4 linked regions of the Alligator mississippiensis genome follow. The protein of the gene in region 3 interacts with the protein of the main gene of each other region in a biochemical or structural test. Links are inferred from orthologs where the notes say so. Each region holds a gene or a part of one and is shown on either strand. Other genes may lie near its edges. The genes, in order: NF2, ABCC2, NHERF1 and ABCC4.

What was found.
Region 1: the proteins of NHERF1 (region 3) and NF2 form a complex in vitro, tested with the Homo sapiens proteins (2 studies listed by BioGRID). The link is inferred for Alligator mississippiensis from reciprocal best matches to the Homo sapiens genes NHERF1 and NF2.
Region 2: the proteins of NHERF1 (region 3) and ABCC2 form a complex in vitro, tested with the Homo sapiens proteins (2 studies listed by BioGRID). The link is inferred for Alligator mississippiensis from reciprocal best matches to the Homo sapiens genes NHERF1 and ABCC2.
Region 4: the proteins of NHERF1 (region 3) and ABCC4 form a complex in vitro, tested with the Homo sapiens proteins (3 studies listed by BioGRID and IntAct, with this or other methods). The link is inferred for Alligator mississippiensis from reciprocal best matches to the Homo sapiens genes NHERF1 and ABCC4.

What each region holds. Positions count from the first base shown.
Region 1 is NC_081833.1:26,673,959-26,681,651, reverse strand, and holds the start of NF2 (merlin), read right to left. Parts: upstream 3,011-7,693; 5' UTR 2,847-3,010; coding exon 2,733-2,846; intron 1,415-2,732; exon of another isoform or gene 1,328-1,414; intron 1-1,327. UniProt on the Homo sapiens protein: Probable regulator of the Hippo/SWH (Sav/Wts/Hpo) signaling pathway, a signaling pathway that plays a pivotal role in tumor suppression by restricting proliferation and promoting apoptosis.
Region 2 is NC_081829.1:101,076,772-101,084,462, forward strand, and holds the start of ABCC2 (ATP-binding cassette sub-family C member 2), read left to right. Parts: upstream 1-4,678; 5' UTR 4,679-4,761; coding exon 4,762-4,803; intron 4,804-5,131; coding exon 5,132-5,305; intron 5,306-5,507; coding exon 5,508-5,645; intron 5,646-6,003; coding exon 6,004-6,138; intron 6,139-6,467; coding exon 6,468-6,590; intron 6,591-6,866; coding exon 6,867-6,922; intron 6,923-7,355; coding exon 7,356-7,587; intron 7,588-7,691. UniProt on the Homo sapiens protein: ATP-dependent transporter of the ATP-binding cassette (ABC) family that binds and hydrolyzes ATP to enable active transport of various substrates including many drugs, toxicants and endogenous compound across cell membranes.
Region 3 is NC_081831.1:11,679,293-11,686,380, forward strand, and holds the start of NHERF1 (Na(+)/H(+) exchange regulatory cofactor NHE-RF1), read left to right. Parts: upstream 1-4,079; 5' UTR 4,080-4,137; coding exon 4,138-4,533; intron 4,534-7,088. UniProt on the Homo sapiens protein: Scaffold protein that connects plasma membrane proteins with members of the ezrin/moesin/radixin family and thereby helps to link them to the actin cytoskeleton and to regulate their surface expression. Necessary for recycling of internalized ADRB2.
Region 4 is NC_081824.1:367,957,001-367,964,523, reverse strand, and holds the start of ABCC4 (ATP-binding cassette sub-family C member 4), read right to left. Parts: upstream 3,012-7,523; 5' UTR 2,699-3,011; coding exon 2,625-2,698; intron 1-2,624. UniProt on the Homo sapiens protein: ATP-dependent transporter of the ATP-binding cassette (ABC) family that actively extrudes physiological compounds and xenobiotics from cells.

The sequences.
Region 1 (7,693 bases), on a different chromosome or scaffold from region 3:
TGGAATACAAACTAACCCCAGCAAATGTTGGACAAATTGCTATTTTTACCATGCTGGCTCCTTAGTTTGATCCTACAACTCCAGGATTTGCCATCTACAATCTGGCAGTTAATCATTTGCATTACACATCAAATAAAGCTTTCCAGGGGCCAGCTAATGTGTTGGGATGTTTCAACTGATACAGGGGCAGAATGGCCAAATGCACACGGATGCTAGACCCTCATTAAGACCAGGGACAGAAATTACACAGAAACCAGTATAAGCAATCAGAAACTCTCTCAAATCTGTAGCATAAACACAACTTCAGTGCACATAAACCAGTTTCAAAATGGCTGAAACCAGCTTAAGATAAACCTGGATGGATGTAATATCAGTTAACTGATTTAGATTAAATCAGTTTATTGAACATCTGTCCAGATCCCCTCCAGATTCAAGTTAACTCTCAGTTCCCCAGCACCCCAGGATGCTTTGCACCTCCTCCACAAACCCTCTGCCCCCCATAGGGAGGGCAGGCCTGCCTTGGCCCAAGCTATATGTTCCTGCTGACCAGGGAGGTGTGCTCTAGCACCCCTTGGCTTCTGGCCTAGGCTACTGCAGGCATGCGGCTGCATTTTCAAAATCAAAATGAATACCCATTCAGTTGCTTATTGATTTAATCTACACAACTTTGGCTAACCTGCAAAGATTGAATGGATTCGGCCTCAGGCTCTTGACTATCTGTACTTAGCCTAAAAGTTGGTCCTTTCATACCCCCAAGCACAGTCATTCCAAGAGTCTGCTGCTCAGCATTGTAAACATTAATATTACTCAGATTTGTTCACAGCTTTCCATTTACTTACTATGCACAGTAGGTTTGCAAGAAGATCACCTTTAGGGGCTAGGAGAGAGTAGAGTACCTGCATTACTGGTGACCCAGAGCTGATGTTCAATCCTTTCACAATATTTTCAGCAATTATTTTTGACACATAATTTCTCTGCCTGAGGCTGAGGTCCCAACCCTGAAAATCTATGAATGTGCAGCAATATTGCAGAAGAGACAATCCTTTACTCTAGCTAAGGGAGTCACTGAAGAATTGCTTCTAGGAACCTCCCTCACAGAGACAACTATACCACCACCGAGAAAAAGCTTCTGGAAAGACACCAAGAAGCTCTATGGTGATAACGAGCACCAAAGAACAGTGAAGGGACACCTGGGAGAATACCAACCTGCCGCAAAAATACGTAGTCAGTGACCCTGCAATTCTCCAGCCAGGATTTGACCTATCGAGAAAGATTTGGTCCTCCCTGAATCACATCCAGACACTTAATGGAAAATGTGGACACCTACCCCATAAATAGAGAATCAAAGAATCTGGGTTGCAATTGTGGTGCGATTTTTCAGATGGTGTAACACATTGTAAACGACTGTCAAATTAAATATTTAATGGCAATCTAAAAAAAAAATAAAAAAAAAAATCAATCCATGCAGCTACCCCTAAAGCAGTCTAATGGTTATCAAATTTAGATATTAATCCATGAACATTGTAATCCTGAAATGTCATACAAAAGAAGATCACCCAAGTTACATCATGGCATTCAGGAATAGCAACTAATGACCTGACTTGAATCCCCACCATCATAACAGGGAAGAGCCCTGTACCAAATCTGGCGTGTGGGGCTGGTCTACAGGCCCAAACCAGACCAGCCTGAGATCCAGCACTCAAGGGCAATCTTGTGCAGTACGTGCCCCAGACCAACCCCACAAAGCATGTGGAGCACAGGACCAGTCCAGGGCACATGATGTATGTGGCACTTATGCCAGCCCAGACCTGCATGCTACAGCTGGTCTGTGGCTCAATCCAGACCAGCCCTGGATCCAGTGTGCATGGCCAGCCCAGCACACGTGGTGCACACAGCACATGCCCCAGACTGGTCCCACCCACTGTGTGTAGCACACATGCTGGCTCCAGCCCTAGCACTGTGTGCAGGCCATGCCCGATGGGCTCCACATGCACCATGAGGGTCTGTGGCCAGCACATGCTGTATACAACATGCCAGCCTGCAAACCTCCAAACACATGCTCTAGGGGCAAGATACTGCAAGGGGCTCTGCAAGGGCCTGCCTAACATCTTCCAGGGTTAGGTAACACCCACCACCATTTAAGTATTTACTTCCTGACCTCTCACGCACTTGGTCTGGAGACAGTGGATTGGGAGCACATTTGAGCGCATTCAAACGAACGCACCGCTTGTAGACAAGGATGGAACAATTACGCTCGCTGCTCAAAACCGATGCAGCGCACCGGTCCGGGGATGCCCATGGCCACTAGGAACAGCTCTGGACCCAGCAGCTCCGAACTCATAGGCCCGCAGGGCTGGGAGGGACCTGGTGAACTCACCTAGCCCAACCCCCTGCTTGAGGCGGGATCATCATTACCCAAACCACCTCGGCCAAGCGTGCGCTGGAGCAGTGCTTCTCAACCGGGGAGCGACCGCGCAGGCTCTGAGGGCGCTTCAGTGCAGGCGCCCTGCCCGGGGCACAGGTCAAGTGGGCGCAGGCTGCAGGGAGAGCCCTCAAGTGGGCAGGAGGCCGCCCCCAGCCAGAGGCGCCGGGACAGCTCCGCCTGCCCCGCTCGCCTGCGTGCCCGCAGCAAGGGCAGAGCGGGAAGGGCCGGGCCGGGGCCAGGGGCACTCCCCTCCGAGGCGGCCCACCCCGCGCACCCCTGGCCGGGCGGGACAGGACGGGCCCACTACCTCGCAGCTGAACTCCATCTCGGCGTCCATGGTGACGATGCGCACCGTGAAGGTCTTGGGCTGTTTCCTCTTCAGCGAGCTGAAGCTCATGCGGGACGCGATGGCCCCGGCCATGGCGGGCTCCGCCGCACCCGGCTCGGGGAGGGCGGGGCGGATCAGCCCCGGGCGCGGGGCCTCAGGGGGCCGGGCCGCGAGGGCGACATGGTGGAAAGGGGGGGGAGGGGCAACACCGGGCCAGGGCGGGCTGGGACCGCCGCTCCCTGCCCCGCCAACCTCCCGTCGCCGCTGCTGGTGCAACTTAACTCCACTACTCCCCGCCATTGGCCCAGCGGCTCGGGAGGGCGGGGCGCCCCTTTCGCCCGCCTCCTGGAGATGCGCTCAGCTAATCGCAAATTCAGTACGCTCCCACCCCCCTAACCCCCCGGCGCTGGGCGCGCTCCGAGTAGCCGAGCCCGGCTGCCACTCCTGCACTCCGGCCCCGCCTCCTCAGCAAGGGCGGTTGAGAGGCCGCCGAGCAACACCGGTCCCTGATTGGGCGAGGGCGGCCCGCGCTCCGGCTCCCCCTGGCGGGGACTCCCGCCTCGCGGCCTGTGGGAGCGCCGTGGGGCCCCGGGTGGAGGCTGGCGCTGTGCAGGAGCACTGGACCCGCCGGAGGGCTTGTTTGTGCACCGCCCCGGGAAGAGGGAAAGGACCTGGTCTGCCCGGGGGCCCCGCTCGGCCTGGCCTAGCCTAGCAAGGGGGCGACCCTGGAGTGGGCTGTCGTCCACAGCGCTGAAAGGCAACGGGCGAGGTCCCATTGTCCTGGCGCAGGCAGGCAGCAGAGCAGATCCAGGCTGGGGATGACTGTCCCAGCTGCAGAGAAAGACCTGGCCGTTGCAGTGGACCCTACACTGAATAGGAGCCAACAGCTTGCCCCTGTTGCCAAAAAACCCCCAAACAAAACAAAGGCAGCAGCATCCTGGGCTATATTAACAGGAGCATCCCTTGCAAATCAAGGGAAGTGATTCTTCCGCTGTATTCAGCCCTGGCGAGGCCTCACCTGGAGTGCCCTGTCCAGGTTTGGGCCCCACACTCCATGCAGGATGTGGACAGGTTGGAAGGAGTTCAGCACAGGGCAGCAGAAATGATCAGGGACCTGAAAGTAAAGGCTGGAAGAGCTAGAGTTATTTAGCTTGGAGAAGAGGATACCAAGGGGTGCTTTGATAACCATCTTCAGTTACTTGCAGGGTGATTGTAGAGAAGATGGAGATAGGCCTGTGGTCATAGGGGATAGGACTAGCGGTGGTCTCAAACTGCAGCAGGGGAAATTTAGGTTGAAGAGCGGTCGGGCATTGGAACAGACTACCTAGAGACATTGTGGACTTGATCCTTGGAAACTTTCAAAAGCAGGTTAGACGCACAGGGATGATCCTGCCTTGAGCAGGGGGCTGGACTAGATGATCTTACAAGGTCCTTTACAGCCTTAATTTGCTGTGATCCTATGAAATGCCTTAGAGTTGAGTGTCAGGCCTACCTTGGCTTGGTCACTTAGGGCAGTGGTTCTCAACCTTTTTTTTCCCCACCAGGACCCATCTATAAACATCAATAATCAGTCTCAGCCCAGTACTATTTGCTAATGACAAATAGTAACTTTGAAGTGGGAATCAAAGTTATCAGAGCCTGTTGTATGGAGGAACAGGAGGCAAATGGAGACACAGCTAATGAGCCAGGTAGACTAAGTCAGTCTCTTATGCATGTATATAGTTGTTATAAGTCAACTAAATAAGCTAATGTAACTGTAAGTGTCCTCTATTCCACTAGGTACAAGCCCTACAAATACCAGATCTGCCCTAGCAGCTGGAAGTTCCAACTCATTTATTACTTGAATTGTAACCCTTGGAGTTTGTTCTGATCCAGGACCCCACAGTGCTAAGCACTCTGCAGATTCTGAACAAAAAGATACTCTTTGCCCCCAAGAGCTAACAGTTGAATGAATCTCCCCATGATACAGGCGGTTTGATTAAATCTCAGTACATGGGGGTAGTGTAGGAATAGGCAGGATATGAAACTAAGATCACTGGGTGCATTCTTCTGAGTGCAAGGAAATTCCATCACATCACTGGCTGGCCTAAGGCTACCGAGTCTATTGCCTGTGACAGAAAACTCTATTAAAACCCAGCAACCATAAAGCTCCAAATGCATCTGCTTCTTTAGGCCTCTAACTTGTTCCACATCCTCTGAATTGTCAGACAGACTAATTTAGAAACTCAAGGAAAGTCAAAGCCATGAAAAGCTTTTATGACTCACCTTTCCTTGCTGGTCCTCTGAGTGCAGAACGTGCAGAATGAGGCTTGAGCTTCCATTTGTAATTTTGAAACCATGCCTATGGTAACAGATTGAGCTGTTCCTGTGTCACTTAATGGGGGCCATGGTTACAGGTGACTTGTGGGCTCAGGGAGGAACTCTTTAATGAAGAGTGCAAGCAGCAATGCTTCATCCTGGTTTCCTGCCAAGTACTTTTGCTTTAAAACCTACATGAGGTTGTGTACTAGGAAGCACACAGAACACAGTATATTAAGTATTATTGTAAAGCATAACCCCTCAGTGCCAAACAGAATTAATTTAAAGGTGACCTACTAGGAGAAAGAAAAAAGAAATGGGTTTGTGCCGTTACTTGCTTCTTTATGATAGATAAAAGCTTTTCAGCTTTATTTTCCTCTTACTTTTATGCCTTAGAAATAACAAGAGTATATAGAGTCTTTTCTTCCCTAACTTAGCTCCCAAAAAGATCTCCCCTCTTTACCCAGTTCTTAGGGTGGGAGTTGTTATTTAACAAGAGCTTTTCTCTCAACTGCTTTTATCAAACATTTGCGTTCTAAATACCATAAATTAAAATAGTTTCTTAACTCAGAGAAATGGAGGTTTTTCTTCCCAGCTGCTTGTGATTCCATGATTCTAACAGTTTTCCACATATCCATAGAGTCCTCTAGGGCAGAGCTGTTCAACTTCAGAGTAACTGGGGGCTGTTCAGGTCATGGGCCCCAGGCTGCATGGGCTCTCTGGGACCCCCACCGCATGTAACCCCATGGCCACATAAGTACCAAGGGCTTCCCACTGCCACAGCCACCACTGCACTGGTGATACCCCTGCCATGCCCCCCCTGCCCAAGCCCCAACTTCTGATGCTGTTGCACAGGCAGCAAACTGAATAGACTGTGTCTCCCTTCATGCTGCCCTGCTCCAGAAACCCCCCAGCCACAACCACCGCAGCCAGAGTAATGGAAGCAGTAGCAGATAGGTGGAAACGCAAGGGCCACTGAGTAACCCTTTTTGGGCTGGATGTGGTCTGCAGGATGCCATTTGGACAGCCCTGCTCTAGGGAAAGTAAAGGCTAGAAAGGATCTGAATTTATAAAGTAAAAACCAGCAGAAGAGCAAAATTGTCCTTTAGCTCTCTAAAAAATAAATAGAAAATATTTTTCTGGCTTTCTTTGTTCATCAAAAAGAAAAACAACTAAAGAGGTACTAGCCATTTTGGAAGGTCATTCATTTATTGCTAGCAAGATTTTAATGTTTTGTATTTATGTTGTGGTAGCAGCTAAAGAACCCAAGCAAATCTGACCTCCTGCATGCTAGGCATTGTACAGACTCCTAGTAAATGACCCTCCCTCTACCACAGTCCTTAAGAACAGCTTCTTAAAAGGTATTTAGGCCCCAACTCCTATTGAAATCATGGAAATTAACCACCTAAATACTTTTAAAATGTGCCCTTACACTCTTAAGGCCTTATTCCACCAAGAAAACTATCCAAGGAGGCCCAGCTCCAGTACAGACCACCGGCAATAATGATGGGGATTGCCGCAGTCATAGGGGTTCACATACACAGCTCTCCTTTGTAGGATGGGGGCACTAAAGAAAACCAATAGCAGCGATCACAAGAATACCAGGTCACCCAACAGAGAGTATATGTGATTCTATTTTCAAAGGGCTTTACAAGAAGCCTTTCTAATTCTCCAGTGAGTGAGTGATATTAGGAAAGAAATAATGGAAAAGGTGAGTTTTTACTGAAAGAGTACTGTTAATATGAAAGCCTCCCCTTTCCCTAGCCACTCACCACCAAAAAGAGCCTTGATTTTACAAACAGACCTTAGATTATTCAATTGGGAGGGGTTTTTTAGGTTAATTTATGCTTTCAATTTTGCATGCTTCTTTCAACTTGGATGATTAAATAAGCCAGTCACATTCACTTTCTGGATATAATTCTTATTAGCTGGTTAACTGTCAAGCAGGGATCGTCTGCTCAACACTGTGCCATAAATAGAAGTCTAGGGTGGAATCCTGGCACCATTAAAACAGATGAGAGCTTTGCAACCAGGATGTCACCCGCTGACCCTGCTCCAGAGAATTTACAATCAAAGGGCCCTAAGAGGTATGATCAAAGTGCAAACACTTGGGAACATGCTTAACTGGAAGCACATGCATAGTCCTGTTAACTTCAGGAGGACTGTTCACCTGGATAAAGACATGCAATATTCTGGCCCCCTCAAGCACCCAATCCTACAAACATTTAAGCTACTGTGGAACTTCACCCATGTGAATAGCATGTCTATCTAATTTAGGCATTGACCTGGCCTCCATTACTATAATATAAAAGCACTTCATAATCCTTAACACATTTATCCTAATAGACTAATAGATTGCTAGGGGCAGGAAGGGACCTTATAAATTATCAGGTCCAGTTCCCCCACACTAAGCAAGAAAAGACAGCTAGGGTCAAGTGACCCCAGCAAGGTGACTGTCCAGTCTCCTTTTGAAGATTTCCAGGGCAGGTGACTGTTGGGCAGTCATCGTGTAAGGGCATACGCCCCAACATCCCGCTGACATTCACTGGCCCCTCAGGGTGGCTGTGCTCCTATGGCTGAGCTGGATGAGATCAGATGACACTTCTTTTCCCTCCTGCCACGACTTTGATGATATAAGAGAT
Region 2 (7,691 bases), on a different chromosome or scaffold from region 3:
AGTCCTAGATCTCCAGTGGCTATGCGATGTTCAAGCTGGTGTTTCTGCCACCACTTTGCCAAGCCGTGCCTTCCTCCCAGCTCGCACGTTCCTTCCACCGGGACCCGCCCCGTGTCTCGCCCCTTTTCCAGGTCACTTATATGAATGATAAATAGGACGGGTCCCGACACAGACCCCTGGGGGACCCTGCTGTTTACTTCTTTCCATCCCGAGTACTGACCATTTAGACTCACTCCTTCGGTTTCTGTCTTTACGCCAATTTTTCTAATCCAGAATTGACCTTCCCTGTGATCCCATAACTGCCTAGCTTCTTCAAGAGCTGCCAATGGGGGACCTTGTCAAAAGGTGTTGTTGGAAGCTGTGGCAAAGTGGGGGGTCCCCATCTAGCCACAGTGCTAGTCTCCCCAACTCCCTCTGTGTACACCATGCACTTGTCTCGCCTTGTTGTTAATGAATTAAGTTGTTAATTAAGGTGGGAGGCTGCCCATTCTTGCCCCGATGCCAGGGGGCGCTATCTGCAGCTCCGTTCTTCCCCAACACCGCAGCCCAAGCCTTGCTGATGGCATCCAGGTGACAATGCTCCCGGCTTACCGCCGGACCGAGCTTAGGCCTCGTTGTCAGACCTCGGACGCACACACTTTCATAGCGCCCTCCTCTCACTGGGGCCTCGCACACTCCACCCCTCTCACGGGGTCTCTTTCACACCTCGACAACTTGTACCACCTGGCTCCCTCGTGGAGCAGCCCCCTTCGGCCATAGGCTTTAGCTAGCTCATGCCTTGGGTGGCAGACGTACCGGCTTTTGAGTCTCTCCCGCAACCCTCACTGAGGTAGTGGCCAGCTAGTTGCCCGGCCGGGTCCAAGCTTGCCCTGGCCCCTCCTGGGGCAACTCTGTACACTCAGTCAATACTGGACTCCCAGCCCTCTGGTCCCCCCCCGGGGGGTCCTCATTTCTGCCCCCTCACTGGGGCTATGGCACTTCCCTGCCCTATGGGGCTCAGGTGGCCGCAGCCGTGCCTGGCCCCCCCACTCGTTCTTGTCCCACACCACGACTGGTGCTCTGGGTCTCACGGGACTCTCCCCCCCCCGGAGAGCAGGTCACTGTGCTGTACGCTAGCTCTTACTTTCAACCCACACGCAGCCTCCCAGCGGTGGAGGGCTTACCGGGGTCAGGACTCACCCTTATCTCTCAGACTGAGCCCCCGTACTCGGCATCTGGCCCAAACTGCAGCCTCGGGCATCTAAAGACATCCCTTGGCTTCCTCTCACTGGGGCCACGGGGCTTCCTCCCTGGTAGGCTCAGGTGGCTGTAGCCATACCTGGCCCCAACTACCGGGGATGTTACATGGCCCACCTGAAGGCAATGGCTGGGGTTAAGGCACCCTGACCCACCTTCCACCAGGGTGGTAACTGGCCTGGCATTTCCTGGGGGCTCCCACACCACTGAGCCCCACCAGGCCACCCGCTCCCGGCAGGGTGCAGTTGTAGATCATGCCCAGGACCAGGAGCCTCCTAGCCATCCCCTACAGCACCTGCCCTTACCTCCAGGGTGTTGCATGGAGCCTCACAGCCAGGCAATGGTCCTGCCTGGCCACCAGCTGCGAAATGCCCTGTTTATATCGGGGGCCAGAGCTCTAAAATGGTCGCTGCAATCACGCACCTGCTGGCTGCTTGGCTCCGCTCTTAAAGTGGCAGCACCACCAGTGCCCTGCCACAGAAGCCCAGATATACTATGTCAGCTGGCCAACCAGATCGCTGAGCTCTCGGCTGGGTGTGCATGGAGGGAGCGCCCAGCAGAAGCAGGCGCAGACCAACCGCAGGGACGGGGAGAGGTGGGGATGCAGCTGCAGGCATCCAACGCTGCCCTCCTCTTCCTCGCTGCTCCATGTTGGAGGGCAGACTGAGGGTGGCCTGGGCAGGAGCTCCTCCCTAAGGGGAGAGGCTGGATGGAGAAAGAGGGCTGGCATCCGGGCTGGAGGCAGCCGAGCTGTTTCCACTAGGAGAGAGAGAGAGGGAACAGAACTGCAGCTGGAACTGACCCCTAACCATGGGCCCTCCCAACCCACACCCATCCCCAAGGCACTTTGGGGTTATGGGGTGTCCAGGTAGGGCCACGGGGTCACCCCCTGCTCAGGAGATCGGGGGGAGAGGGGGGTGCGGGGAAGGGGTCCGTGATCTCCAGCAGGGTCTGCAGGCCCTTGCACAGTCTGCCTGGATGGGAGCAGAAAGGACTCACGGACAATCCTCGCTACCGGGGGTGTTGAGGGACCATTCCCAGAGCAGGATCCCAAGGCAGAAGGCACCCGGTACCTCCTTCCAGGGCTCTGCCAGCCATGCCTCCTTCGGGGACCTCATCCCAAATGAGGAAGCTGCACCTTTCCACTCCTGGCTCTGGGGAGCTTGGGCAACGGCTGCTGCTTCGTACTGCAGCTCCTTCCCTGCCCTGCCCTCCTGGGAACGGGACCCACCGAGCAGGAGCTGGCTTGGTGATGGCGAGGCTATCGGAGCAGATGAACGCGGCTCGAGGTTGGAGGTTCACTGGCTTGTGTCCGGAGATATCCCCAGAGCAGGGCAGGGGCCCGTCCTGTGCTGCACAGGTCTCCGCATTGTAGCGCTAGGACTCCGAGGCCTGCTCTGCCGCCTGCCTGGTGCCGCGGACCCCAGAGGGGACGTGACTTCTCCAGCCGCTGTGTTGCAGGCCGGGAAGCGCCACGTGCGCTTGGGCCCGCGTCGCACAACTCGGGAGAGCAGACGCTGCTTGTACTGGGCTGCCAGCCCTCCTGGCAAGGAAGAGCCACAGTGACACGGGCTGGCTGTGGGGTGTTTATTTGACATCATAGCGCTGTCGCACAATTCACCGCCCCATTAGCTAACCCTCCCCTCTGGCCCATGGCTGCCGGACAGTTGGTGCCAGTGCTGCAGCCAGGAAAGGGTCCACAATCAAAAAGACCAGTAGTGGCCTCCAGCCCCGGGAGTGGGCATCCACATGAAGCCACAAAAGAGACCACGGAAGAGGTGGCAGGTTTCTGCGTGTGATCCATGCCCTTCCCCGCCCCGGGGATGCGGGAGCTGAAGTCTCTTTGCCTGCGCTGACAGGGGGGTCCCAGGGTCTGCACGTTTCTGTCCCGCTACAGGATGTTCTTTGTGATGGCGTTCAGGGTCCGCACTTTCGCCACGTCGGCCACCTTGATGGACAGTCGGAGGCAGAGGGAGGCTCCCTTGTCAAGCCAGAGGGTTAAATATCTGGAGGGGTGAGGAGCCAGCACACTGACCAGTTAATTTTTAGGAACCAGATTGATTAAACCTGCTTTGCATCTTGTAAACCAACCTGCTCTGCGGCAGGTGAGGCCTGTGATGCCCCGCATGCAGCCCAGGTGTCCATAAGGTATCCAGGGGGGGAGCCCAAAGAATAGCCCCTGCCTGCGCTGCCCACCAAGGCCACCACCCAGGCGGAGCCCATGGGGCACCACACTCCCACTGTCCTCCACCACGCTGGCCCTATCCCCTCTGCTCAGCCCCATGGGAACAGCTGCCCTGTCTGATGTGTTGGAGAAGGGATGTCAAGGGAGGGGAGGGCCCAGAGAGGCCTGGGCTGGAGATGGGATGGGGCCAATGTGGTGGAGGATGATGGGAGCACGGTGGCTCCATGGGCTCCCCTAGGGTGGTGGCCGGGGCGGACAGCACACGCAGGGTCTGTGCTTTGGGGTCCCTCGTGGACGGCTGGGCTGCGTGCGGGGCATCACAGGCCTCCCCTGCCGCAGGGCTGGCTTGTTTACGAGATGAAGAGCATGTTTAATCAATCAGGCTCCTAATAATTAACTGTTCTGTGTGCTGGCTCATTGTGCCCCTGGACATTGCACTCTCCCGGGTTGGGCGGCTGGTGGCTCACGCAGGGTTGCTGCCAATTAAATCATCGATGACTTTTGAGCTACTTCTCAAGTGCATGAGGCATATCTGAGATAGCAGATTTCCCCTTCCAGCCCCGCTGTTGGAGCCCCCGTCACCCTTCCCAGCTTTGCCCCCTTGGCTGGGGGTGCCCAGCACTGTCCCCAGGGGCCGCCGCGTGGCTGCCAGAAATTTTGGGGCAGTTCTGGGGAACCAGCTCCTCCTGTCTTTCTAAGGATCCCCAGGGGTCGGGTCCCAGGCATTGGGTGCTGGGAGCTCTCCCACCTTTGGGCTGGCTGGCACCAAGTGTCTGGGCCGTGTGGGGACCTCGGGACTGCAGGGCCAGCCCAGAGCTCCCTGGGAGGAGAGTGGGGCAAGGAGGGAGCTCCCCTCAACTGCTGGCAGACACTGGCCTGCAGGAGACAGCCAGTCCGGCCCAGACCCGGGCCTATAGGGTCACACTATTGCAGGGTTCCCAGTAGGACAGTGCGGTGGGGCTTGAGGACCGGCTGTTGTGTGCTGGGATGCTCCGGCCTGACACCCTGGGAGGCGGTGGTGGAGCCGGGTCCCACATCCTCTGCAGCCCTGGGCCGCTCTGCGCTGAGATCCCCGGTGCCCCGGCTACCAGGATGGCTCCGAGCGGGGATCCCCGAGGCTAGAAACCCCGAGCGGCGGCAGCCCAGGCCCCCCCGCCCCGGCCCAGCCCGGCCCACCCCTGTGGCCGCCGGTCGGGTTGGTTTGCACAGGGCTCGGGGAGTTAACGATTAACGCCACCTGCGGGCTCCTTATCCCGACCCCGGGTGCGTGGGGACTTTTGCCCGGGCAGCGCTCGCGGCACCCACGGAGCTGCCGGCCCAGCCCGCCCCGGCCCGCCGACATGCCGCCCGCTCTGGACCACTTCTGCGGCTCCGTCTTCTGGGTGAGCGGCCCTGGGGGCTCAGGCCCGGGGGCTCAGCCCCGCGCCAGGGCTGCCGCGATCGGGCCTGGGGCAGCCCAGCCAAGGGGCGGCGGTGGAGGTACCCCCGGCCCGGCTGCAGGCGGGAGCCAGGGCCACCGGGAGCCGAGGGACGCGGCTGGAGCTGAGGCGCTGCTGCCCACAGGGAGAAGCTGGGGCCAGGGCCGTCGGGGATCTGCGCAGGGGGACACGGCACAGCCTGCTCCGCGCCCGCCCTGTCCCCTGCCCTGCGCCGCCCTGCGCCCGGGCACCTCCTGCCCCCGGGTGACCTGGATCCTCCTGCCTCCCCCAGAACACCTCGCTGCTGCAGCGCCCCGACGCCGACCTGCCCCTGTGCTTCGAGCAGACCGTGCTGGTCTGGGTCCCCCTGGGCTTCCTCTGGCTCTTCGCGCCCTGGCACCTGCTGTCCCTGTGCAAGTCCAGTGCCAAGAAATACTCCCGGACCAGGCTCTACCTGGCTAAGCAGGTGCAGTCCAGCCCGAGGGACCTCGCGGTGCAAGGGGCTGGGTCCAGGGGGGCAGGTGGGCATGGCCGGGGGGTACAACAGGCTGGCATGGACTGAAGGGTGTTGCAGGTGGGCGACAGCGCAGCTCCCCCCTGCCAGACCCCACGGCCTCTGTAGCTTGCGGGGCTGGGGCTGGGGTCTGCTGACAGCTGTTCCCCCACAGGCACTGACTGGGCTGCTCCTGCTCACGGCTGTGACTGAGCTGGTCTTCACGCTGGCAGAGGACTTGGGGAGTCCGGGCCCGGCCGGCCAGAGCCCCGCTGTGCACTACACAAACCCCGTGCTGTATACGCTGACCTGGGTAGGAGCTCCCTGCCCCCAGCAGGGGGGATCGGAGCAGTGGGTGGCCCCAGGACACCCCTGTGGTTGTGGGTTCCCACCATGCATGGGCAAAGGGACCTGCCTCCTGGGCTTGGACTGGGACCTGCCTCCATCAGGGGCAGGGGTGGCAAGAATGGGGCACAGGCTCCCTGCAGACTCAGGCAGGTGCTGCTGCTCCAGTCACACTCTGGAGAGGAGGCTTCAGGTCCTGATCCCAGAGCTGTGGGTCCCAATCCTGGGGCTGTGGGCACTGGACCCTGTGTTTAACCTTTGCTCAGTGGGGCCCTGGGGTTCTGCCCCTTCCCTGATGGCCCCTGACCCAGCTGCTCCCTCACCAGGTCCTGGTGCTGTTGCTGCACGATGCCCGGCGCCGCTGCCTGCGCAGGGACTGTGGGCTGCTCTTCCTCTTCTGGATGCTGTCCCTGATGTGCGGCATCTTCCCACTCCAGACGCTGATCCGGAGGGCGCTGCAGGTCAGGTCTTGCAGGACCTCTGTGCTCCCAGCTTGGCCCCTGGGGAATCCCTTCCTTGCTCCTGCTCCAGATAGGCAGGGGTGTTTGGCTCCCCTGTTCACACCAGGTCCTTGCACTTGGGTCCAGGCGGGGGCTGGAAGGAGACAGGCCAGGGCCCGGCCACCCCTGCCACAGGAAGGGCGGTAGGAGGGTGTGTTCTCCTTGGCCCCAGACACCACCCTGGCTTTGTGGGATCTGGCCCCGCTCCTGTCCTGGCTGATGGGTTGAGCTGGTGTCTGGGCCTCGCTTTGAGATAACCTGGGCAGCTCCTGGATGTCTCCCTCCCACAGGGCCCCATTCCTGACGTGCCACGGTTCAGCCTCTTCCTCCTCTCCTATGGGCTTCAGCTTGTCCTCACTGTCACCTCCACCTTCTCCGATATCGCCCCTGAAACTGCTGAGGCTGCCAGGAAGGTGAGGCCCTGGGTGCTGTGGGGAGCCCCACAGGCAGCCAGGGGCTGGGGACAGAGGGCTGAGTCCATGGGAGACCCTGGAGCCATTCTGCGGGCTCTGCGGAGCAGTTCCCAGCGTGGGTGGTGGATGGAGAAAGGGCTCCTGGCCTCCACCCTGCACAGCCCTGAGACTGGTTGGGCTGGTGCCCGCATGGCATGATGGGGCCAGAGCCAGCTCCCCAAACCCCTGCAGAGCGGCCGGCTCAGGGGACAGACACTCCTTGTCCTTGTGCCCTAGAACCCCGAGGTCACGGCCTCCTTCCTGAGCTCCATCACCTTCGGCTGGTACAGCAGGTACGTGGGACGCAGGGCAGGGCTGGGCCAGGGCACTGCTGGGGCCACGTGGTGTCTACACCTTGAATGCTGCACCCAGCTCTGGTCCTGTGCCTCCCAAAGGATAGAGAAGAACTAGAGAAGGGCAGCAAGGTGGGTTTGTAGGGGTAGGGAGGGGCTTGTACGGGAGAAGAGACTTACGGGGTCAGGCCTGGTTGGTTTAGAAAAGCAGGGACAGGAGACGGGTTTGCACAATACTAAACAGTGACGAGAAGGTCTGCAGGGAGTTATGACTGACAGTCTCTCGCCGGACAAGACCTGGGGGCACAACATGAGACGAGCAGCAGAACCGGGGCTGGGCACCGGGGTATGGTGGCTGGGGGTGTGGGGTGAGGGCTCAGGACAACTGGTGGGGGGGTCCCCGCAGCAGAGCTGACCGAACCCTCTGGCCCAGGATGGTGTGGAAGGGGCACCGCAAGCCCCTGGAGATGGAGGACCTGTGGGAGCTGCGGGACCAGGACAGGACACAGCCAGTCTCCGTGGCCTTTGAGCGGCACATGCAGGCCGAGCTGCGGCGGGCCCGGCGGGCGCTGGAGCACCGACACCACCGCCGCAGGAACCATCCCGCTGACGCGGAGCACAGGAATGGGCTGGCCCCGGCCCAGAGCCGCGACGTCCTGGTGCTGGTAATGCCCTCAGCTGCACCAGGGCGGAGCTCAGACCAGGGCACCTTGTCCCCACCCCTCCCAGCACAGCACAGCAAGGCGGGGGCTGGAGGGCCCCTGTTCCC
Region 3 (7,088 bases):
CTAAAGCTTTCACGAAGGACTTGCCGTAGAACTTCACCTGCCTTGTAGACGAATGTAAAGGTGACCCCTGCTTGAATATTAACTCAGTGGCAGGGCACTGCTCCGATGAAGCTCACGTCACTGATGGTCCCAGCTAGCACGTGCCATTCTGTGGGGCTCATGAAATAAAGATCAGGCTTCAAACAAACAGCAGTGGCTTAAAAAGAGCTCCTTTCCACGGGGCAGGTACTTCAGGCCTTGCATTTCTCATATGCATCTGTTTGGCAGGAAACAGCTGCAATGTTTCCATCTGTCCGACAGGTGGACAGAAGTGAACCAACAAAATGGGAGCTCGAGACACAGGTCATTAGCGTTTATTGACTTGAAACCTGATGACCAACCTTAACAATTCTTTTCATAAACTCTTGAGGGTTTTTCAACTTCCTTGTTTCTATTCAGAGGCAATTTAAGGCTAAACCAGTAGAGGAAGAAAAAAAAAAGCACCAAACGTGTTTAGACTATTGCTTCTTCGCCCTCCCTGACTGCCTGTACATCCATCTGTCTGCTATTTGCTGCCTGTTCACTTTCAGTTTCAGCTCCGTTGTTGTACATGCAACTATTCCTTGGCAGGTCCTGCAGAAACGGAGGTGGTAAACACTAGTATTGGATCACGGACTACACACAATGTGGTTCGAATGCAGAAAGGAAGCAATTTTGGGAGGGGGGAAAGACATTTTAAAACAATTTCAACTTAAGGGTTACAGGTACTAATAATAACTGCAGCACTGTGGCTTGTAAATGCGATTTTTCAAGTCAAAAGCATTGCGTGGAGAATAATAAATATAAAATAATCGGCAGAAGGAGAGAGCAGAAGGGAAGATGCTGAGAAATTCGGTGGTCTCGTGTTTCCAGACTGCTGCTATTAATTGCTTGCTTCAGTAGAAAAAGGAAAATGAAGTGGAACAGGAGGCATCAGCAAAGGACACCCCATGTTCGCTCTTCCAGTGTATATAGCGAGTAACGTGATCTCTTGAGCCAGAGTTGCTACTCCATCTTCCCTTGTGAAGCAGCAAAGTCGCTTATTCATGTAACTCCCTGACTCTTGGCTATTCTCTGTGTCCATTTTTTCTCCGCAGAAAAGATCAGGCTGATTTCCTAATGGCTGGAGGGCTCTCTCCTGCTTCTCCATGCAGTGGGTTTTATGCATAGCACTACTGACCTCAGATGCCCCAGGAAATTATTTTCTCATATAGTCAAGCGACGTATGAAAAGACAAAGGACCAGGTCTTTACAAGTGTTTTATTTCCTACCTCTCTTTGCGGTCAGTGGGAGTTAGCTGCCTCAATGCCTATAAAAGCCTCATTGAGAGAGTAGTGCAGAGACCCGAGGAATTTGGGGAAAGAGAAAGGAAGGGAAGTGCCCTCAAGAAGAAAACAGTTCAGGGTTCATGTCTTAATTCTCTGCTCGGATCACCCAGAAACACAAACTACCCATCAGTCCTACGAAGGTGAGGTGATCCACTGTGGTACCTCTACCGATCTGAGGCTGCATGAGGAAAAAGGACAGCGTTTTCTGCTCCGGTGACAACTGTGGCTCAAAGTCCATCCTGTGGTTTCATCTCCTTTTCCCATCAGCCTCACCTAAGTGTGCTGGGGAAACAAGCCTCTGGCACTGGTTCAAGTTATGGGATTTGAGTTCCCCTACCACTGCATTACCTCTGAAGGCCTGAGTTCAGGAAGGTCTAGTACAAAGTAGCAAGTTAAGTGATTTCAGGGCCTTTACCCCTTTCTAGTGGATGGCAACCCAAACTAACCTCAGTATAGGATAGACATGGGGGCAGGGTTGGACCCCTCTTTGATTCCTGCTCTACCCACAGTCTAAAACCAGCATTTCTAGCCAGGCAGCAGTAAAGGCATGAATTATCTTCATGGCTCATTGTAATCTACCCGGTCCCTTCAAAACTCTTCATTTCTCTGGTATTAACGACCCTCTCTTTTTTTCATCGTCTTGATATTCCACCAATCAAGCCAGCCTTTGCTCAGCAATTCGGCTGTCTGTAGCTGCTTCTGGTAATGAAGGTCCTATGTCACAACCCGGCTGATGGTCCAATGAAGTTATATTTGTTTTGGCTTCAACCTTAAACTGAATCATGCAGCCCTTAGGCCCCTAGCCTATTAGTAAAACTTCTAGTTTATTTTTAAGTGGAGAAAAAGTGGATGTATTGTTCCTACGTGTGATGATGCATCTTGCCGTCGGCACCCTCTTTTCAAAGTTCGAGATCTGCCCATGCATGAGTGAAATAACAAGCTTGTTTTAGCGGGATGCTCTAGCAGACTGTGCAGAGCCTATTAACAGGATGAAGCCTTTTGATGTGCCATACTAAAACATGGACCAATGCCCACCGCATAGAGCTACGAGCCCCCCCTTTAATAGGGGGGGCTACTAAGGACATATCAGGGATTGCTTGGGACAAACAAAGAAACAAAACGGGCATTTTTTTTTCCAAAAAGATTTATTTCTATATATATAAATATATATATATATATATAACTCTACCTCCAACACTATCAAGCAGCTCCTGTGGTTCACCTGGCAGATCACAGCACACTTGGACAGTTTAAACCATTAAAAGCTCATTACACAGTTTGCACCGCATCTCCGCACACCCATCTCTACACCCATGCCCCCACCCACAACCCTCTTCAGAGGGCCTGCAAAACAGGGACAAGGGCGAAGGTCAAAGGTCTGAAATGAGTTTACTGAAGGGAGACAGCGAGCAGAGCGTGCCGGCCAGTGCTCAGCAGCCCTTGAGCGTGTGCAAGGAGCCAGCGGACGCTGCTCAGCGAAACTGTGCTTGGAGATGTGAACAGAACAGGAACGGGAAGGGGGCTGTGCAATCCCCGGGGGTTCCCCCAGCCAAAGCCTCTTTCCACGTCCAATAGACAGTGGGGTTTTTAAAACTGTAAAAGCTTTTGGAGGTTTTTAAGGCCCGGCTACACAAAGCCGTGCTAGGACGATGTAGTTGGGGCTGGTCCTGCTTTGAGCACAGGGATAGACTCGAATCACTAGATGTGACCTCCCAACCCTCGTGGTCTCCGATTCTGTGGCCAGATTGACCAGGACCCGGAGGAGGTTGACCAAGAGGACTTGGTGGAGCCATGAACGGGGACGTGTAAAGAAAAAAGGTGCAAGGAGGGGGCAGGGGGTCATGCAGCCAGAGCCTCAGCAGCAGGTCTTGGAGCAGTGTCGGCCTTAGGGTTAATGGGGCCCTGGGCAAGAGTCATTCAGGGCCCCTTAGAGGTCAATATTAACCCACCACAGTTGCATCATGGACCTTTTTACTAGTCTTTGGGGGATTTTTTTTTTAAATTTGTTTCCGAGGCCAGATTAGCCAAAACCAATCCCAAATCCAAGAGTCTAAAACCATAAGTGGCCCTACTACTGGCAAACACCCGCCACCCACACCTGGGGCTCCAGATGTTTCCAAATCCTTTGGTGGGCGTCCTATGTACAGGCCCAAGCCCGGAGCCTGGGGGAGTTCGGACGCCCCCGAGATTTGCTCCTTCTCAGCCATCACCTACACGCAGCAAGCAAGGCAGGAAACCCCCCTTTTCCAAAAATGGGGCTTCACGCTGCTGCACCTCGGCAGGGACTGAACCAGAAGAGCAGGATCTTCGCCTATAAAAGGCAGAAGGATTTACATAAATAGCCGAGTGTTAAAATGCGAAAACTTGTGGAAACTACATCCCCCTGCCCCCAAATAGAAGAATAAAAATTGGGGACACCTAAAGTGTGGCCTGGTTTGCCCCCCCCACCCGGAGGAGGCGGAGAAGAGGCTGCAGGGGGCGCCCCGGCAGCAGGGAAACCCAGCGAGCAAGGAGGAGTGGCCCCCCAGAAGCCAGCAGGCCGAGGGGGCTGGTGCCCCAATCGTTGGGGGCGGGGCCTCAGCTTCTCTCATTTGCATAACCCCGCCCAGGGGAGGTGTGTCTCGGATTCGCTGCGGGTTCCAGAGCCTCTTGGGTTCCCAGCTGCGATTGGCTCCTCGCGGCGGCCCCGCCCCCGCTATAAAAGGCGGTGCCGAAGGCGGATCGCCAGCAGTCGGCGGCGGCGGCGGGGCTAGGCGCACGTGGCGCGGGGGGAGCGGAGCCCGCTGCCAGCATGAGCGACGGGGCGGGCGGCGAGCGGGCGGCGCCGCGCCTGTGCTGCCTGGAGAAGGGCCCGAGCGGCTACGGCTTCCACCTGCACGGCGAGAAGGGCAAGCCGGGCCAGTTCATCCGCCTGGTGGAGCCGGACTCGCCCGCCGAGCGCGCGGGGCTGCGGGCCGGCGACCGCCTGCTGGAGGTGAACGGCCACAACGTGGAGCAGGACAGCCACCAGCAGGTGGTCGGCCGCATCCGCGCCGCCTCCAGCGCCGTGCGCCTGCTGGTCGTGGACCCCAGCGCGGACGAGCCGCGAGCCCCGGCCCAGGAGGTGCAGCAGCAGCCGCCGCCGCCGGCGGAGGAGGAGGAGGAGGAGGAGGAGAAGGCGGCGGACGAGCCGGAGCCGGTGCAGCGGGTGCGTGCGGGTCTGGGGTCGCTTGCTCCCTCCCTCCCTCCCTCCCTGCTGCCCCCGGGGGGGCCGCTCTGCCCCTTGCGGGCTCCAAGGCAGAGCTTCCCCGGCACCCGTGGGACCAGCGCGCGTGCAGCCCGCCAGTGCTCAGCGTAGACGTGCGTTTGCTGTCCCCCGGTTGTCTGAGACTGGGGAAATGTGCATAGATGCATAGATTTTCGGGTTGGAAGGGACCTGTTAGATCATCGAGTCCAACCCCCTGCCCTGGGATGAGCCGATCCCCTGTGCCTAATCCTCGGTTCCTGCCTGCCCGGTTCCTTCAGGCCAGGCTGTGCCCGCAGCGGTCTCGTGAAAGCCGGCCTTGGCTTTCCAGAATAGCCAAGGAAGTGGTCACAAAAGTGTGCCAGGTTCGGGCAGCACCGGTGGGGGGAAGAGAGGGTGTCAGGAAATGGTTGCCAGCGTGGTGATCGTGTGAAGTTCGGTGTGTTTGAAAGTAAAAGGGCGTCCGGTTCTCGGGCAGCCCCAGTGCTGGCATCTTTTTGAAACAGCCCGACCTGCTGGGAGAAAGGAGAGGGTTGGAAATCAGCCGTTTCCAGAGAGCGCATCTTTACCTGTTCTCTGTGCGGGGGGGACTTGCAGCCAGGTCTTCTCGATGTGCTTCCTGCCGAAAGGAGAGGGGAGGTGCAGATCAGAAGGAGGGAAGGTGCAGAGGTGCGAGAATCCAGGCTGCGTATCTAGACTGGAGGAGCTGGACTGTTCTCGGTGGTGACAGAGCAAGGAGCGAGGGTCTCAAGTTGCAGCAGGGGAGGTTTAAGTTGGATATTACAGAAAACTTTCTCGCTGGGAGGGTGGTGGAGCGCTGGAACGGGTTACCTAGAGCGGTGCTGGAAGCTCCGTCCTTGGAGGTTTTCAAAACCCGGCCAGACAGAGCCCTGGCTGGGATGATGTAGTTGGGGCTGGTCTAGCAGGGGTTGTACTGGATGTGGTCCCTTCCAGTCCTCATTTTCTATGGTCTCCCTTTGGTGTCTTGGATACCTCTGAGCCTAGAGGTCGATTTCTAGGCTACTTGTTCAAATTACAGCGGGTTAGAAACCAGCACTAGAATTTTTACATATTTTCAAGCACTAACTTTATAGCTTGTTAGCTCTTTTTTGTAGTTGGATGGACATTTTTATCTTGTGATAATTACTCTGCACATGTGGCCGCTCTAGCTTCGTTGCACCATTAACCAGATAATTGTGTGATGATCACTTCGCACATGTACCCGGTCTTACTTTGCACGTGTTACCAGTCTAAACTTATTCCATGTTTAACCAGTGAGTTGCATAATATATGTAATATATAGCAGGGGCCTAGGTGGCACACGAAGAGCCACAGAATAAGCACAAAAGAAAGCCTGATGATGATTCAGAGCTATTAATGTTGCTTTTGTACCTGGGAACTCGGTGTAGAACCAGTGGCTGGGTGGTACTAGGAGCTGCACAAAGTGCTGAAGGAAAACAGACACACCTTCCCTAGTCTCTATTAATAATCTTCAGGGCTAATTATAGATGTAGGACTTCTGCTTTCCCCTCTGCCCACTGTCAAGAGTGTGGCAGCCTCTGTCTTGCTGCATTGCTGAAATAATGATACATCTCAAAGGAGCCAGTTTCTTATCAAGTTTTCCAAATGAGTATATAAAAGGCATGGATGGAGGTTGTCTCTCACCCCTAGGGCAGAGTGATATCTTCTCTGTGCTGGTGGGGCTAACCTCTTGCCATCTCCAGTGTATAAAGACAAGCTTAGCTTCTGCGTCCCCTATTCATATGATAAAGGGGTTTTTTGGCAGAGGGTCGGGGGTAACTAAAAATTGGAGCCTTTGTCAGGTTAAGATGGGGTTTATGGGCACGGGCATAAGATTCCCTAAATGCGTTACTGAGGAGCTACTTAGCTGTGACCTGTAGCCATTCGAAAGAACAAATGACTTGGACCAATTTGGAAATAGTGTGGGAAAACTAAGTCTGAGCAGTGCTAAGTAGCCCTCTGGTAGTGTAGCATGGACAAAGCTACACCACTTCTAGCCTGCGAGGAGGTGTGTGTGGTGTCTTTTAGGACAGCGCTGCTGGGCAGGATAGCATTGCAGTTGAGATGTGTCCTCCTTTATATCCCTTCATACCCCGGTATCGCTTCATATCCCAGTGACGCCTGTCAAAGCTTAAACACAACCCCTCAAACCGTTGATCACAGTCAGGCAGCTGATGTGCTGTAACCACAGATTATAATGCTAACTGCTATTAACACACTATTTTTTTTTTTTCTTCCCCATTTGCAAAATGTGTCAGATTGAGATTGTAATCTTAGCAAGGCTGGGGTTCTCTGTCTGTGCAGTGCCTAAAACAAAGGATCTTTTGTCTTGTAGCTGCCCCCCATCAGAAAATTGAGATGCTTTTAGGGAAGAGGAGTTTTGATCCATGTTGATGCAAGTCTTACATTACAGTATGGAGACTTGTCCAACACCCCTGAAGTGACGTCAGTAATATCCTGTTAGTGGAAATACAGACAGACACATTACAGGGATGTGG
Region 4 (7,523 bases), on a different chromosome or scaffold from region 3:
TTTATAGTCAGGTTAAAAATGATTGAATTCCTTCCCCTCCACAGCAGCATGTGCAGAGGATTGAGAAAAGTCTCTACATCCACAGCAAAAGGAACCCGTGACTTTTCAACATTCTCCACCTGCCTGAAAGAACAAGTGAGGCTACTACTCATCATAAGGTCCACAGTACTGGGACATCAAGGGTTTACAAAGGAAAATGAGAGCAACCAAGGAATAACTATGCAAATGTTGCATACTTCTTAATGCAGAGCGTAGGAATTCCCTAGAGGGGTGCCATTCCTGACAGGACTCACTACAAAACACAACAGTTGGCACATTTCTCTGCTTCCTCTCTCTTCTTCTCTGTGCACTGTAGTTCTGGTATCTGAGATACATGCTTTACTTTCTTTGGATTAATTCACAAACTTATAATTTTTTTCCCCCTAAGAATAATGATTAAGAACTGAGCTGTTAAAAAAAAAAAAAAATCACACTTCTTAAAGTACTCATTCAACACGGCCTTTAGGCTTTCCATATTCCCCAGCTCTAACAAAATAGTGTATTAGTGGTGTTGCAAACACTAGCTTTATTTTTGTAATACAGGTCAGCAATGAAATCCACTTTACAGCTGTATGCATATAGTGTAACCACTCAGGGAGAGCTGAAAATGCAAAACACCAACAAGGTCAGTCCTGCAAACAGGTGCACACAAGCTACAGAGAGCTTAGCACTTGCTCTAATGTGCTGGGCAGCTGGCCCATATGGTCTCATTTCAGTGGAGCAGAAACAGCCCAGGAAGGGGCTAGAGAGAAAGGCAGGATAGATTTGCACCTCACAGACTAACCAAAATAGAGGTGGTCTGATTAGTCTATAAGGTGCAGATCTACCCTGCCTTCTATTTAACTTCAGACTAACACAGCTAACAACACCTCTGTGCTAAAGGGCTAGAGAGGGCAAGGAAAAAGAGTGTGCTGCAGTCTCTTCCATCCAAGGAAAACCTAAAAAAATCCTGGCTTTAGCATCTTGAGACGCAAACACAGCAGCCTGGTGAGCGCCCAGCAGAGGGAACTCTACCAGGGCTATCTGGGATGTTTTGTTTTTGTACCTCCTAAAACTTAGGACCTCTGAACACATACCCTAAATAAGGGAAAATCTGCTTGGTCACTTGCTTTTTGTCTTTCTGGAGGAAGGGATGGTCCCTCTCCACCTTCCAGAAAGGATTCTTGCACCTACTCAGATCTGGTTGTACTGTCAAGATGGTTAATTCAAACACCATCTGGGTTTCCAAAGTGTTCAAACAAAGAGGTTTCTGGCATGCTGCCCAGCCCCTGCAAAGTCTTCACACTGCATATCTGGCCAAGGGACGAATAAAGCTGGGATCCAGATGCACAGAGTGGGAGAAGACAAGTGGGTGGGATCCTCTTCACCTCCCTCTCCAAAAAGTCTAGGGAAAACAAGAAGCAAACTCTCTCCCTGCTGTGGGCAACCACTGTAGAAAGCAGGGATGAGCCATGGGTGATGCCACCTCTGTACAGAGCATGGAGTTTTAGCCCTGTTAATCTGAAGTCAAGTGGACAGCAGAGTAGATTTGCACCTTATAGACTAACCAAAGGTTAGCAAAGCATCTGCTTTCTCTTTAACTGGATAAATATGTGCTGTGTTATACGTGATGACGTACCACACTATATGCCCAGCTCCCTTTTCAAAATCCTAGATCTGTCTATGCAGAGTAGATCTACAGCTATATCACCAGAGCAATATCTACCTTAAAGCAGATCTATAGCTATAGAGCGACAGACAGAGCGAGTGATAAAGTGAGCACTACAATATGACAGTGAGCTACAGTGATATAGTGATAGATATAATTGATAGAGTGAATGATAGTTATAGTTATAGAGCAAACGATACAATATGATAGAGAGTGAGTGACAGAGCAAGACAGTGATATAGTGATTGAGTGACGGAACAAGTGATAGAGTAAGTGATACAATATGATTGAGAGCAAAAGAGGAGTAGACAGTGATACAATGATAGAGCAACACAGTGAGAGAGCAATACAATAGAGCAACAGAGCGAGTGACAGTAACAGTAATAGAGCAACTAATACGAGATGATAGTAAGAGCGAGCGATAAACCAAGACAGTGATATGGTGATAGATACGAGTGACAGAGCAAGCGATACGATGTGATAAAGAGAGAGTGAGCAATAGACAGTGATACGGTGACAGAGACAAGTGATAGAGCAAATGATAGCAATAGACCAAGCGATACAATATGAGTGAGCGGGAGCAAGACAGTGATAAGGTGATAGATACGAGTGACAGAGCAAGCAAGGCGATGTGATAAAGAGCGAGCGAGCAATAGGGCACCACAGTGACAGAGTGAGTGATGGTAACGGTGACAGATGCAGCAGGAGAGTGATAGAAAGAAACAGCTCTGGAGGGATAGGACAGAGCGAGTGCGAATGAGAGAGATGCCAGATACGGCAGAGGCACGGCTGGACACACGGGTGCGGGCAGAGGGAGAGCGCGCCCGACCACAGGCTTTCCCGACCTGAAGCTCCCTCCAGCCGCGGCTGCGAGAGGAGGCGCAGGGAGAGGCCGAGGAGGAGGAGAGGAGCCCGGCTCCCCGCGGGCCGCACTCACCAGAAGAAGAGCCGCGAGCAGAGGTTGGCGCCCTGCAGCGGGTTGGGGTTCTCCGCGCGGGGCAGCGCCTCCATGCCGCCGCCAGCCCCGGGGCACGGGCACTGGCACGGGCACCCGCCGCTTCCGGGGCCGCCCCGGGCCCTGCCTCTGCGGCACAGAGCGGCGGCGGGAACCGGGAGCCGGGCCGGGCCGGGCCGGGGCGGAGCCGCCCCAGAGGAGAGGGCTGCCCGGACCCGCTCCCGCTCCCTGCCTTCAAAGCCTGGCGCGGAAACAGCCCAGGTGCGGGTGCCCTGCTCCCCTCCAAAGTCCCTTCCTTCACGGCCCTGAGCGACAGGCTCCGGCGCGGCCCTGCCCCTGCCCGGCAGGGAAAGAGCAGGTTGCAGCCCACCTCAGAGCGCCCAAACCCTTCTTGAATGGCATGTAGGGACACAGCTACACGCACACACCGCGCATGTCGACACGTGCATTTACCGGGCTTTTATGGAGAGGGTTGGGTTTAGACCCGCAGGCATTACAGCGCAGTAAGTTTGTGTCTGGATGGACTTGGGTACACAAATAGGGATACTGTGCAGTAAGGCATCTATGTCCTTAGACCAACACGGCTACAACCTAAACCCCTGTCACTGTGCAGGAAACACTCAGGTGGGAATTTGCTACCTGCCTCATGCAGGTAGCAAATTTCCACCCAAATCGGTGCATGTCACTAGAGTTACTGCACAGTGTGCGGACTGCGCAGTGATTTTTGGCCACTGAGAGGTAACTTAAGTTACTGCCAAGTAACGGTGCATGTGGAGACATGCTCATTTAGACACATGCTCACACACTTAAACATACGCTCAAACACACACGGCCCACTCTCACTGGAATCTAGCACTCGCTGAAAACAGGCAAATCATGGTTACCCCGAGATCAAATGTGGCCAACCTTTTATTCAGGGGTGGATCTAGGATTTCCCAAAGAGAGGTGTGGGGGTGACTGTACCCCTACCTCCCTGCTTCCTTCCCCACCCGTGCAAACAGACTGTCCTCAACAGCCCGCAGGGACTTTAGGTCTCTAAAGCAGGTGACAAGTCCCACCTCCTTTCCCTTCCCTCCCCATTCCACAGCTGCCATTGTTGCTTTCCCAGATGTTTTGGGGGCTGGGAGAGCACCAGAGCTGTTCCTCCTCACCCAGCCAGGCTGGCCTCATCTGGGGAGGGGACAGGGGCAACACCAGGGTGGGAGAGTAGTTCCTCTCTCTGTCCTCCATCCCCTGGGAGCAGGCAGACTGAAGGGGATTCCCCTCAACCCATCCCCACTGCTGCCGTCCCCAGCTGAGATCAGCCCACATGCAGCCTGGCTACACCAGACAGGAGCGGCTCTGGTGCTTCCCCCACCCCTGGGACAGTGAGAAAGCAGAGAAAGTGGGGAAAAGCAGGGGAGGAAGGTTTTCACTTCTTTTTAAAGAGTTAAAAAGTCCCCCAAAGCTCCCCTGGTACAGTGCAATCCAAAAGAGGGGGTATAACTACCCCATTACAGCTTCTCTGGATATGCGCGTGCAGTTTTTAATACAAAAGTTAAAGCTGGGACTCAGTGGCAACATGGAGGGGGTGCATGAGGGTGCACATCCACCCCCTGAGAGCGCTTATGCACCCCCTGCCAGCCAGCGTTCCCCACTTAAGCAATGGACGGGGGGCAGGTGGGAGCGCTGGTGCTCCCCCTGAAAGCGCTGGCTGGGGAGTAGGGGCACCAGGAGAAGCGTCGTTGGCACTTCTGGGTCAGTGTGATCAGCTGCAGGGGGACCCATCTGACTCAGAAGGCACCGGTCGCTCATGCCAGAACTTCAGAAAAAACCTGTAGAAGGTCTTTATACCACTCAGAGGGGGGAAAAAAATTTTAAAAGAGTGAAAAGACATTAAGGTGGAGATCTTAATATAAGCACCATTACCTTCCTGGGATAAAATAGTAAAGTTGGGCTGCCTGTGAATTAGGATTCTTTCTTTGGATAAGGCAGCAAAATTAAGTCTATAATCCTTGGTTAATTTTAGTCATACCGTAATGACTGCTTTGTTGTTATAACACAGAGAGAATTTTTTTTTCCCCCAAGGACATTGGCTTTGGAGAAAAGAATAAATAATTTACTTCCTGGATTAGTGTCTTAAGTCCTCTCTCTCTCTGCATTCCACCCCCATTATTATGAATGACACTGATACTGTAAATGATACCAACTAGGGCTCCAGCCTTGTAAACATTTACACACATTTAAGTATTTCCAATAACTTAATTTCCAAAACCAAATGCTCTTAAAAGATAATTGGATGGAGAGAGGAAAGCAAAGCAGAAGGGGAAAAAAACAAAATCATATTAAACAGAAAATATTTTTTTAAAAGCCAGTAGGCTAGATAAATTTGTAGGAGTAGCTGTTACAGAGCTGTCTACCATTGGGAAAATGCCACTACCTGGCAAGAACCCAGAAATAGAACATTGCATCATTATAAAAGGTAATAAAACACAAAACAAGCCATGGAATTTTGTCCTCTGAAAATTTAAGGCTACATACAAAAGAAAATGGGAAAATGAAAAGTGAACAAATTCATAGGAAATAATATAAAGACAGGAGGGACAAAACCACTAGCTTGACACTTGCACTTAGTCATATATGGAGTTCTGTGCTTATTGATACACAGATACATATACACACACACACACACACACACACACACACACAGAGCCATTTCTAGAAAGTACAACTTTATTAATAATTACATACAGCTACCTTGAAAGAACATTAAGGTTGTATGATCAAGCACTCATGATTAGGAAATGCCTAAGAAAAGGCAACACAATTCAACCTCTTATACATATGCATTATGTTACAGCCTTCAATTACATTTAAAAAAAACAACACAAACAGATTTCCTTTCTCATTTGGTGTACAGGAAAACTGGTCATCACTGAATGGGCAGCTGTTCAATATTCATTTTATCCTCATTTCTCAATATATGGCAATATGCCTTATTTACTGCTCTATTCATACCTTGGTCTGAATATAGAATTACTAACTTCCCTGTGAGCATTTCTGTGTATTTATCACTACTGTACCCAGTGCTTTACAAACATTTTTCACCCTACATCTCCCAATAGTGTGGTATGACCTCCAATTTCTGGATGGGAAACTGAAGCAAAGCGTTATTAAAATCATTGGAAGGGACCTCAAAAATCATCTAGTCCAACTGCCTGCACAGATGCAAGCTGTCTATTCCTAAACTATCCCTAACAAATGCTTATCTGGCCTATTCTTTAAAAATTAAAAAAAAAAACTTCCAATGAAGGAGATGTAAATTAAAAATTTCCAAAGAAATAAAAAATGTCTACTCAGTTAGGTACATCTAGAACCTACTTTTCCAGGATATTCAACACAATGATGCATTTTCAAAGTGCAACTCCCATTGAAATCTGTTGAAGCTATGAGCATTCAGAACTTCTGCAAATCAGCTCCCAGGGGCCCAAGATGAGTATTAGGAAATGGGGGGGGTGTCACAAAATGAGTAACCAGGAACAAAAATTTGGTTTAAGTGATTTGCCTAGCATTACATAGCAACTGTCTGGCAAAGGAAGCATAGAAAGCAGTTTAGAGTGGTTGAAAGCTTTCCAAGGGAACAATTGTCCATAGGAAAATGATGATTTGATGGAATCAAAAGATTCCGATGAACATGTTTCTGTCAAAGCTTTTGTTCAAAACAAGACAGAAAAGCAGACAGGCAAGTAGGCTGCTGGGCTTACCAGCCAACTGACTTGCCTGGTTTCCTTTCATACTATAGGCAAAAACAGTCTGGTAGTCTACTGGCTTACAACCCACCTGTTCAGTTTGTGTCCAATTTGTTATCCCGTTTTCTGATTTATTGACTAGAAAGTGTTTCCTCATGTGGGGACAAAGAACCGGAACTGTTTTTAAATTGAACTAGATAAGTTATCAAAAGCATAATATTATGGGAAAAGAAGTTGTTGGGTCAACTATTACCTTGTATTATATGCATAGACAAAGCTAGGATTTTGAAAAGGGAGGTGCAGACAGTGTGGCACATCATCACATATACACAACACATTTTTATCTACTTAAAGGAAAACCAGATGCTTTGCTAATATGCTAGCACCATATTATGCATTTTAAGGTCAAAGCAAAAACCAATATAACTAGTTAAATGTGCACTAATTTGCTAGATTATCTATAAAGTTTAAAAAACACAATAAACTAGGCAAAATAGTCAAAATGATCAAAATATATTGTATCATTAAGTCCGGTAGTCATTATAATTAAATGTACATCTCTTATTCAGATTCATAAAGCAAAATCTACTCTTCTCGAGTGTCTTGATAGTACCGCCAATACTTCCTGTTAGCCATTTCTACACCTGAGTTAAGGTTTTTCCTAGAACTAAAAACAGTCTTCAGGCTACGAAATAGAAGAGACATTACCAGGAATGGCTAACAGACAACAAAATGGCAGAAGAAAGGATAGTTTGAACAGTAGGTTAGCAGGACCATTAAAAAGACAGAGGGTCATTATCACCCATGGAGTGGAGAGAGATTAGCAGGAATCAGGGAGATGATAATGAGCTATGAAGGTAGTTGGTTTTAAAGTTTGGGTGCAGCAAGAATCGAAGGGGAGTGCAGCTGCACCATTGCACCCCAGTGGCACCAACCCTGGTTATATATAGGGTCAAGTACATACAATCCCTATGTTGAGGTACAGGTCTAACTTTCTTAAAATGTGGTAGATGTCTGGTAATTCAATTCCTCAGGGCTTTTGTTTGCCTGCAGGAAGTAGGAAAGATAAAAGTCTACTACCTTCTGGGGTTTTTTGGAGGCTTCCTCTAAGCACTGGGATGTTGGCCATATTGACCACGTCCACATGACCGTG